2 linked regions of the Macaca mulatta genome follow. The protein of the gene in region 1 purifies or fractionates together with the protein of each later gene. This does not show direct contact. Links are inferred from orthologs where the notes say so. Each region holds a gene or a part of one and is shown on either strand. Other genes may lie near its edges.

Region 1 (5,503 bases):
TAACATTTTAGGCCAAAGTATTAAATAATAATAGTTCAGTAGTCATGGAAAGTTACATGAAGTTTGAATAGTAAACAAAATATTTATGGTCTTTATGATTTAAGAGTGGTGTGCTAGTTTACAATCATGGAAAGCATTATTACAGTTTTAACAAAAAAGTGATAGCCTTTTTGAGATCTTTGTTATCTGTTTGGAATAACAACTATTTTTTGTTCTGATTTTATTTTTATACATACTTTTTCGATAATAACTTTAAGCATTATTTCAGATTACCTTAAGGAAAAGTGTGGAATCAGCATTAAGACAGTTAGAAAGAGAAAAGGCGCTTCTTCAGCACAAAAATGCAGAATATCAGAGGAAAGCTGATCATGAAGCAGACAAGAAACGAAATTTGGAAAATGATGGTTTGTATTGTAGAATATTAATTATCAAGAAAAATATTAAGTGTGTGTATGTGTGTTATGTTAAGCTTGCCACTGAAATGCTTTTTATCGTAGTTAACAGCTTAAAAGATCAACTTGAAGATTTGAAAAAAAGAAATCAAAACTCTCAAATATCCACTGAGAAAGTGAATCAACTCCAGAGACAAGTAGGTGGATCTCAATTTGTAGTAAAGATATTGGGTTTTATTTATAACCATGCAGTAACATTAGTTTTAATTTAAGTGTTGCAAAAGGCCTTTACCTCTAATTTTAGAAATCATTTGGAAAATATTTTTAGGTTTTTGTTTATTTTAAATAGTTTCTAATAGGGGAATAGATTGACTTATTTTCATTACATACATCTGTGTTTGTTTGTTGTTGTTTGGTTTTGAATGGAATAACAGCTGGATGAAACCAATGCTTTACTGCGAACAGAATCTGATACTGCAGCCCGGTTAAGGAAAACCCAGGCAGAAAGTTCAAAACAGATTCAGCAGCTAGAATCTAACAATAGAGATCTACAAGATAAAAACTGCCTGCTGGAGACTGCCAAGTTAAAACTTGAAAAGGAATTTATCAATCTTCAGTCAGCACTGGAATCTGAAAGGAGGGATCGAACCCATGGATCAGAGATAATTAATGATTTACAAGGTATTGAAGTCGTGGTTGCACTTGAATTAATTCTGATGATTCTTATTTTTAAAATAACTTTAGATGATGGATAGTGTGCTGGAGTAGGACATTTCTGAGTATACTACTCTTATGTAAAGTTAGAATATTAGAAATACATTGACACAAAATTTTATGAACAAAAGATTTAATTTCAAATAGTATGATTTTAAGTATTAAACTCTTCAGGTAGTAGATTGGATTGCATTTAACTGTAAAGCACAACACCAACAAGTATAAAACTCCTGCTCGCAAATAACAGCTCCAAAATAGAAGGTGGCTTGCAAACTTTTTATTCTTAGTTGAATGTATATACTTTGTGTGTTTAATGTTTTTAAAAACGTTGAAATTTTTAGGTAGAATATCTGGCCTAGAAGAAGATTTAAAGAACGGCAAAATCTTAATAGCGAAAGTAGAACTGGAGAAGAGACAACTGCAGGAGAGATTTACTGATTTGGAAAAGGTAAAACATGATTTGTATTTTTGCATAAGAAAATTGACTGTAGACTTTCAGGTTAGAAAAGTTATTCTAAACTAAGGGAAGTCACTAACTGTAGTATTTCCACATGCTCATGGATTCCTTTCCATTTGGACTTGATACGTAGATAAGAGATGTATCTGCAGGCTTACCATAACGCTATACAAGCAGCCCTCAGCATGCTGGCTGCTCACAAAGGAAGGGGACCTATCCTGGAGTGTAGATAATGAGGATCTCTGTAGGAACTCAAGGAAAACTCAAATTTTGACTCATAACATGCCTTAAAAATGATATATATAAAGTCACCGTGACTTTTGGCATTTAAAAGTTTTTCCTTTAAAATACTCTTAAGAAAGGGATGATTTCTAGAGTCTATGCATTTAGCGTTTTATTTTCATTCACTTATTTATTTACTCAACTAAATATTCAGTGTGTTATATGTGGTAGAAATATCAGGATGCAGTTCTTGCCTTGAATAATGTCACAGTTGAATAGGTAAGTTTAAAAGTAATAATAAAGCACAAAGATAATTCTAATGCAGTATGAGAAACAGAATGATAAGACTTATGGACAGGGCATATGTATTGGGCGTATGGGATGCATCCCTAACCTGACAGCAGGAAAGGTTGATAAGGGCAAAGGCACAGTCCAAGTTAGGAAGAACAGCATGAGCAAAGACATAGAGGATGGAAAATAAAAAAGGCATTGTTTGTTTATTTACATAAAAGCTGTTCAATATTTCTGGAGTATAGAGTGGGGGGTCAGCAAACTTTAATTGTTTAAAGTCAAGATAGTAAATATTTTAGCTTTTGTGGGTTATATGGTCTCTTGCAACTGTTCAGCCCTGCTGTGATTCATAAAGGAATGGCTGTGGCTATGTTCCAGTGAAACTTAAAAAAGAAAAAGACATCAGGTTAGATTGGCCTGAAGATCACAGTGTGGTTGTTATGTAAGGACATGAGGAATTCAGTGGTCAGAGTGAGACTACAGAGCTCCGCATGAGGTAGGTCGTGCAAGATAGCAAATACTCTATTAAGAAATTTTGAATATAGTAATGGGCTAGCCACTTAAGGGCTTTAAATTGGATGATCTTATTAGGGGTACATTAAAGATAGATCACTGTGTACTGTGTGGAGAAAAGATTTGAGGAGAAAAGACTAGAGGCAGAGAGACCAGTCAGTAGACTTTTTCAGTAATGCAGATAAGGAATAATGGGAGACTTCGTGTAGCCATTAAAAGGTTGGAAAAATTGAAAGACTCAGAAATATTTGGAAGAGGAATATTTGGCAGCGCTTAGTAGTTGATTAGATATGGCACATGAATAGCAGTCAAAGATGAGTCTCAGATTTGTAGGTTGTGACCAGATATATAGTGATGCTATTAATAAAGAATAAAGGAAAAATGGCTCATTTAGAAGAGACAGTGATAAACCCACTTTAGTCCTCTTAAGTTTGAGGGTACCTGTGGGAAAGCCAAATTAGAATGTCTGCACTGCAGTAGGCTATAGTAGTAGAAGTTAGAAATATTTGAGTCATTGGTATGTTAGTAGCTGAAATCATGTGAGTGAAATAGCCCATCTGGGAAGAGACTGTGTAAAGTAGTGATTTATTTTTTATTTTTTTATTTTTTTTTTAGGACAGAGTAGATAACTCTGTTGGTGGATTATGTGGTTTGAGAAATCATTTTTTGTATGAAAGGTTTTATTTGGAAAAAACCCTTTATCATATTTGTGATATGAACTATAGAAATAAAAGAATTAGAAAACCTTTGGGGAGTATGTAGAAAATAGGGGGAGCATTGAGGCTTATATCACCAACATTTAAGGGACAGCTGGGAAAGCCTCAGAAGCAACAGGAAGGATGCAAGCAGAATGGAGAGAACCAACTAAGTACAAGGTCGGCAATGCCAAGGGATGGTTTTAAGGGTGGCGGTGAGTTCAGATGAGATAAGATTGAAAAAGGTCTTTAGAATTTGATATGGAGAATAGCATTGGTCTTTTTGTTGAGATTAAGTGATCTTGATACAGATCTTGGAACAGCAGAGTGGTGGTGTAGACTGTTGGGTGCAGTGAGAAGTAGAGTATATAGATTACTATTCTAAGAGGTTTGAGTGAAGATGGGAGGGAAAATACTGAACATTCGTATTAAGCCTGTTAAAAAATGATTTAAGGTTGAGCACCGTGGCCCACACCTATAATCTCAGCACTGTGGGAGGCTGAGTCGGGAGGATCACTTGAGCCCAGGAGTTCAAGATCAGTGTAGGATAGGCAGTGTTTAGTGAGACCTTGTCTCTACATTAAAAAATAAAATAAAATAGCCAGGAGTGGTGACAAACGTCTATAGTCCCAGCTACTTTGGAGGCTGAGGTAGGAGGATCGATTGAGCCTGGGGAGGTTGCACTTGCAATGAGCCATCATCAAACCACTGCCCTTCAGCCTGGGTAATAGAGCAAGACTCTGTCTCAAAAAAAAAAAATAGAAAGCTTTTGAAGTTGTGAGCTAGTCTCTTTTTTGTTGATAGCTGCATTTTAAATATTTAACAGGAAAAAAGCAACATGGAAATAGATATGACATACCAACTAAAAGTTATACAGCAGAGCCTAGAACAAGAAGAAGCTGAACATAAGGCCACAAAGGCACGACTAGCAGATAAAAATAAGATCTATGAGTCCATCGAAGAAGCCAAATCAGAAGCCATGAAAGGTATGCATTTTTAAAGAGGGTTTTCCAGCAGCATCTTCCTAAGAATTGATTCTGTGTTCAGCTTTTTGGTTTTGAAACATATTTGTTTATATTTCGTTGTCAAATATTGGGAATTGGAGGGGAAAAAGCTATTAGGGAAGCTTTACATAGATATTATATTATTTTTCCTTTGTATCATTACAGTAATCATTTCTAAGATAGTAAGACCCAAACACAAAATTACATGATCAAAAATAATATTTTAGATCAGAGATTTTTAGATCAGAGATAAATTAATATTTCTCAATATTATATACCTGGCAATATCTGTACCACTCTGTATATCAGTAGTAAGAAGGTATGTCTGAACTTCACATGCTGTATACCTGTTACTATTGATACAGGTAATTCTTACAAGAGTTTTGTATTATAAAATTCTTGCCAGTTTATGCAAGGTAAGGATTTAAAAATAATAGCTGGTCTAACTAGAATATAAGTTCACTGAGTATTTTGATCTCTAATGTGATGAAGATACTAGTCAGATTTGGTCAAAGCCATATAATACTAATAGATAACAAAGTTAACCTTCCCATAAACTAGCCTTTATCCTGGAATTGTCTTAGGATAATTTTTTCTTTTCCAAACTGACTGTTTATAATGACTCTGAAATTCCAAAGAAAATCAGTACTTTAAGCTATTCTTGTGAAAGGCTTAAAACTCTTGAACAGAAATTTATTTTCATACTGAAGCATAACATTTATGAGTAAATCACTTAGAAAAAAATAGCCTTTTTATTATTGCATGTAATTAAAATGGTAGATTTTCTTAGTAAAAATCAGTGTAGTTTAAGGCACTAAATCAGGATGATAAGAAAGAAATGAGTACTTTATTTAGAAAAATCTAATTGTAAGGGAGAAAGTTTCCTTGTCTGTGGCCTAGAAGACAGAGTTTAATTATTTTCATTGAGGTATAATTTACATGCAATAATAAAATGTAAACATTTTTTATGTTTTGTGATATGCTCACATAACTACTGCTCAAAACAAGATAAAGAATATATCAGGCTAGGCATGGTGGCTCACATCTGTAATCCTAGCACTTTGGGAGGCCAGGATGGGAGGATCTCTTGAGCCCAGGAGTTCGAGACCAGCCTGGCTAGCATAGCAAGACCCTATCTCTACAAGAAATAGAAAAATTAGCTGGATGTAGTCGCGTGCGCCTATAGTCCCAGCTACTTGGGGGACTGATGTGGGA
Region 2 (6,241 bases), on another chromosome or scaffold:
TGGCTAATTTTTGTATTTTGAGAAGAGACCAGGTTTCACCACGTTGGCCAGGCTGGTCTTGAACTCCTGACCTCATGATCCACACGCCTCGGCCTCCCAAAGTGCTGGGATTACAGGTGTGAACTACTGCACCCGGCCTAAGTTTTTTTTTTTTTTCTTTTTTTGAGACGGTCTCACTCTGTCACCCAGGCTGGAGTGCAGTGGCATGATCTTGGCTCATTGCAACCTCAACCTCCTGGTTCAGGTGATGCTTTCACCTCAGCCTCCCAAAGCTTGGATTATAGGTGCGAGTCACCACACCTGGCTAATTTTTATGTTTTTTTGCAGAGACTGGGTTTCGCTGTGTCGCTCAGGCCGGTCTTGAACTCCCAGCCTCAAGTGATCTGCCTGCCTTGGCCGCCCAAAGTCTCAAACTCCTGGCCTCAAGTGATCCACCCGTCTTGGCCTCACAAAGTGTTGGGATTACAGGTGTGAGCCATCATACCAGGCCTATATTTATTTATTTATTTTTAGAGACAGGGTCTCACTATGTTGCCCAGGCTGGCCTCAAACTGCTGGGCTCAAGCAGTCCTCCTGCCTCACCCTCCCAAAGTGCTGGGATTACAGGCATGAGCCACTGTACCCAGCAAAATATTTGCTAAATAAGAAAAATCATAAAGCTGAAACTAGATTCTTTTTTTTTTTTTTTTAAGATGGAGTCTCTCTGTCGCCAGGTTGAAGTACAGCCTTGGCGCGATCTCGGCTCACTGCAACCTCTGCCCACCTGGTTCAGCCAATTCTCTTGCCTCAGCCTCCAGAGTAGCTAGGACTACAGGCACGGGCCACCACACCCAGCTAATTTTTGTGTTTTTAGTAGAGAGGAGGTTTCACCATGTTGGCCAGGATGGCCTCGACTTCTTGACCTCGTGACCCCGTGATCCTCCCGCCTCGGCCTCCCAAGGTGTTGGGATTACAGGCGTGAGCCACCAAGGATTTGTGTTAAAATTTTTTTTGCTGGCCAGGCACGGGGGCTCAAGCCTGTAATCCCAGCACTTTGGGAGGCCGAGACGGGTGGATCACGAGGTCAGGGGATCGAGGCCATCCTGGCTGGCTAACACGGTGAAACCCCGTTTCTACTAAGAAATACAAAAAACTAGCCAGGCGAGGTGGCGGGCGTCTGTAGTCCCAGCTACTCGGGAGGCTGAGGCAGGAGAATGGCGTAAACCCGGGAAGTGGAGCTTGCAGTGAGCTGAGATCAGGCCACTGCACCCCAGCCTGGGCGACAGAGCGAGACTCCGTCTAAAAAAAAAAATTTTTTTTTGCTTTATTTTTTTCTTCTTTTTTTGTATTAGAGATGGGGTGTTGCTATGTTGCCTAGACTGATCTTGTACTCCTGGGCTCAAGTGGTCCTCCTGTCTCAGCCTCCCAAAGTGCTAGGATTACAGGTGTGAGTCAAGCAATGCTCGTGCCTCAGCCTCCCCAGTAGCTCGATTACAGGTGCCAACCACCACCTGCCCACCACCCCCGGCTAATTTTTGTATTTTGTATTTTAGTAGAGACAAGAATTATACCATGTCGGCCAGGCTGGTCTCAAATTCCTGACCTCAGGCAATCCACCCACCTCAGCTTCCTGCTGGAATTATGGGCGTGAGCTACCCTGGCCAAGATTTTTAACTTCTGAAGCTTATAGCTGCTCTAAATCACAAGAATTCAGTTCCATAATTTTAAAAAGTTGCTTGTTTTGACTTTAGGTATATGGTTGAACATTCTAACTTTTGTTATGTATACATTTTTATTTTACTGTATTCTTGTGGCCATTGTATCCTACTCTGTATGTTGCAGATGAGTTGTGATTCTCTGGACTTAGAGATCACATGCTCTATTACCAGGATATTTTTTTGTAACTCCGTTTGTTGTTTGGGATATAGGCTTTGAGAGGTTAAGGAAGTAAATTTAGGATGGATATTGATGTTGTAGCACTTTGTTAATCCTTTTCTCTACAAGATAATTTTATTATGTGATACAGCAATTTTGTTCAGAGATGTTTTGTGTGTGTGTGGAAAATTTCTTTTCTGGATGAAATCTCTTGTTTAACTTCTCCAGTTATTCATAATGAAGCTGTTTATCTTTTAAAGATATTAAGTTCAGAAAAGGAAGGCAAGCTGCATACAGTGGCTCACGCCTTTATTCCAGCACTTTGGGAGGCCAAGGTGGGTGGATCACCTGAGGTCAGGAGTTCAAAACCAGTCTGACCAACATGGTGAAACCCCATCTCTACTAAAACTACAAAAATTAGCCAGGTGTGTTAGTGGGTTACTGTAATCCCAGCTACTCAGGAGGCTGAAGCAGGAGAATTGCTCGAACTTGGGAGGTGGAGGTTGCAGTGCTCCAAGATCACAGCACTCCAGCCTGGGCAACTCTGTCTCAAACACAAACACAAAGAAAAGGAAGGCAGTAGAGTATCTTATTTAAGAGCATGGATTCTGGAGAGAAGCTGACAGTTAAATACTAGCTCTGACACTTGATGGCTTGAGACCCTTGACAGTAATATGATTCCTTTTTGATTCAGTTTTTTTCTTCTGTAGAAAGGGAATGGTAAGCGAGCACTATGAGATTTCAGTGAGAGAGAAGCACTTACCTCAAGTGCCAGACAGCAGCCTTTCAGCTAACTTATTATATTTATTTATTTTTTGAGATGAAGTTTTGCTCTTGTTGCACAGGCTGGAGTGCAATGGCACGATCCCAGCTTACTGCAATCTCCACCTCTCAGGTTCAAGCGATTCTCCTGCCTCAGCCTCCTGAGTAGTTGGGATTACACGCATGTGCCACCATGCCCGGCTAATTTTTTGTCTTTTTATTTTTATTTTTATTTTTTTTCATTTATTTTTATTTTTTTTGAGATGGAGTCTCGCTCTGTGCAGTGGCCGGATCTCAGCTCACTGCAAGCTCCGCCTCCCGGGTCCACGCCATTCTCCTGCCTCGGCCTCCGGAGTAGCTGGGACTACAGGCGCCCGCCACCTCACCCGGCTAGTTTTTTTTTGTATTTTTCAGTAGAGACGGGGTTTCACCGTGTTAGCCAGGATGGTCTCGATCTCCTGGCCTCGTGATCCGCCCGTCTCGGCCTCCCAAAGTGCTGGGATTACAGGCTTGAGCCACTGCGCCCAGCAATTTTTTGTATTTTTAGCACAGACTGGTTTTCACGATGTTAGCCAGGATGGTTTCGATCTCCTGACCTCAGGTGATCTGCCTGCCTCCACCTCCCAAAGTGCTGGAATTACAGGTGTGAGCCACCGCGCCTGGCCTACTTTTTTTATTACTTTTTTTTTGGAGACCGAGTCTGGCTCTGTCGCCCAGGCCGGAGTACAGTGGCATGATCTCGGCGCCCTGCAACCTCCGCCTCCCAGGTTCATGCGATTCTCCTGTCTTAGCCTCCCAGGTAAACTGGGACTACAGGTGCATGCTGCCACGCCCGGCTAATTTTTGTTTTGTATTTTAGCAGAGACGGGGTTTTACCGTGTTGCCCAGGCTGGTCTCCATCTCCTGTGTTCAGGCAGTCCGCCTACCTTGGCCTCCCATAGTTGCTAGTATTACAGCCGTGAGCCACCGTGCCTGGCCTTTTTTTTTTTTGAGACGGAGGCTTGCTCTGTTGTCCAAGCTGGAGTGTAGTGGCACAATCTTGGCTCACTGCAACCTCTGCCTACCCAGTGCAAGCGATTCTCCTGCCTCAGCCTCCCAAGTAGCTGGGACTACAGGCGCGCGCCACCATGCCCAGCTAAATTTTTTGTGTGTGTTTTTGTGTTTGTTTTTTCACTAGAGACGGAGTTTCACTATGTTGGCCAGGCTGGTCTCGAACTCATGACCTCGTGATCCACTTGCCTCGGCTTCCCAAAGTACTGGGATTATGGGTGTGAGCCACAGCGCCCGGCCTTTTTTTTTTTTTTTTTTGGATAAGGTATTGTTTTGTCTTCCAGGCTGGAGTGCAGTGGCATAATCTTAGCTCATGGTGGCCTCCAGCTTTTGGTGTCAGGGTATCCTTCCACCTCAGCCTCCCGAGTAGCTGGGACTACAGGTGTGTGTGCAACTGCGCCCAGCTAATATTTTTACCTTTCGTAGAGATGGAATCTCAATGTCTTGCCCAGGTTGGTCTCAGACTCCTGGGCTCAAACAATCCTCCCACCTCAGACTCCCAAAGTGCTGGAAGTATGGGCGTGAGCCACTGAGTCCAGCTATCTTCAACTTTCACTATTCAGGTTACAGTTTGTAGTACCTTTTTTTGGCAGGGCAGGGGAAGGGTAGCGGGAGTAGCGCCCTAAGATCTCTTGGAATAAAACAGGGCTTACTACTTGGTTCCTGGTGCTTAAGAACATGTTTCCTAGACTCGGCTCTTTCCAGACTTGGAATCCAGTTCCCCAAGTTGGAATCACCTGAGGTTTGTTTTAATCACCTTCATGGAGGTATAATTTGCGTACAATAAAATGCATATACTTTATTTTATTTTATTATTATTTTTTTTTGAGACGGAGTCTCGCTCTGTCACCCAGGCTGGAGTGCAGTGGCCGGATCTCAGCTCACTGCAAGCTCCGCCTCCCGGGTTCACGCCATTCTCCGGCCTCAGCCTCCCGAGTAGCTGGGACTACAGGCGCCCGCCACCTCACCCGGCTAGTTTTTTGTATTTCTTAGTAGAGACGGGGTTTCACCGTGTTATCCAGGATGGTCTCGATCTCCTGACCTCGTGATCCACCCGTCTCGGCCTCCCAAAGTGCTGGGATTACAGGCTTGAGCCACCGCGCCCGGCCAAAATGCATATACTTTAAATGATAGTTTGATATATTTTTTTTTAGACACAGGGTCTTGTTCTGTCACCCAGCTGAAGTACAGTGTCGGAATCATAGCTTACTGCATCCTCAACCTCCTAGGCCCAAGAATTCTCCACTTCAGCCTCTTGAGTAGCTAGGGTTGCAGGTATGCACCACCACGCCTGGCTACATTTTTAGTTTTTAATTATTTTTTTGTAGAGAGAGGGGTCTCACTAAGTTGCTCAGGCTGGTCTTGAACTCCTGGTCTTAAGTGATCCTCTCGTCTCAGCCCCACAAAGCCCTGGGATTGTAGGCACGAGCCACCACAAACCACCAGTTTGATAAATTTTGATAAATATATATACCCATGTAATTGCCATTCAGTTGAGTTAAAGAGCATTTCCTCAAGGCTTTAAATTTTTATTTATTTATTTATTTTGAGACAGAGTCTTATTCTGTCATCTAGGCTGGAGTGCAATGGCGCAATCTTGGCTCACTGCAGTCTCCGCCTCCCGGGTTCAAGTGATTCTCCTGCCTCAGCCTCCCAAGTAGCTGGGACTACAAGCAAGCGTCACCACACCCAGCTAATTTTTTGTATTTTTAGTAGAGACGGGGTTTCACTGTGTGAGCCAGGATGGTCTTGATCTGATCTTGTGGTCTGTCTGCCTCTGTCTCCCAAAGTGTTGGGATTATAGGCATGAGCTAGTGCGCTGGCATTTGTTGTTGTTGTGTTTTTTGAGATGGAATCTCACTCTGTTGTCCAGGCTGCAGTGCAGTAGTACGATCTCAGCTCACTGCAACCTCTGCCTCTTGGGTTCAAGTGATTCTCCTGCCTCAGCCTCCCAAGTAGCTGGGACTACAGGCACCCGCCATCACACCCAGCTAATTTTTTGTGTTTTTAGTAGATTTGGGGTTTCGCCATGTTGGCCAGGCTAGTCTCGAAGGCCTGACCTCGTGATCTGCCTGCCTTGGCTTCCCAAAGTGCTGGAATTACAGGCATGAGCCACTGCGCCTGGCCTGAAGTTTTTTATACGGATTTTTTTGTTCATTCATTTTATTTGCTTGGCTTCCTGGAATATGAGAAGTTTTGGTTTGTTTTTGAGACAGAGTCTTGATCTGTTTCCCAGGCTGGAGTGTAGTGATGCTGTCATGGCTCACTGCAGCCTCTAACTCTTGTGCCCAAGTAATGCTTCTGCCTCAGCCTCGCGAGCATCTGGGACTACGGGCAAGCACCACCATACCTGGTTAATTTATTTTTTATAGAGATGACGTTTTGCCATGTTGTCCAGTCTGGTCTCCAACTCCTAAGCTCAGGCCTCCCAAAGTGGTGGGATTATAGGCATGAACCACTGCACCCAGCCTAGTTTTTTATTTTAAGAAATATATATACTTGGTAAAAGTAAAATCCAGCAATAAGGTTTACAATAAGCATATGTAAATTCTTAGCTCACTGGGAGGTACCTAAT

Evidence for each region. Proteins that work in one complex are often made in the same cells at the same time.
Region 2: the proteins of ROCK2 (region 1) and RHOA purify together in Homo sapiens (affinity purification with western blotting; 3 studies listed by BioGRID, with this or other methods). This does not show direct contact. The link is inferred for Macaca mulatta from reciprocal best matches to the Homo sapiens genes ROCK2 and RHOA.

Annotation. Positions count from the first base shown.
Region 1 is NC_133418.1:113,613,798-113,619,300, forward strand, and holds part of ROCK2 (rho-associated protein kinase 2), read left to right. Parts: intron 1-268; coding exon 269-404; intron 405-497; coding exon 498-589; intron 590-826; coding exon 827-1,073; intron 1,074-1,447; coding exon 1,448-1,554; intron 1,555-4,110; coding exon 4,111-4,270; intron 4,271-5,503. UniProt on the Homo sapiens protein: Protein kinase which is a key regulator of actin cytoskeleton and cell polarity.
Region 2 is NC_133407.1:112,846,988-112,853,228, reverse strand, and holds the start of RHOA (transforming protein RhoA), read left to right. Parts: upstream 1-2,321; 5' UTR 2,322-2,938; intron 2,939-6,241. UniProt on the Homo sapiens protein: Small GTPase which cycles between an active GTP-bound and an inactive GDP-bound state.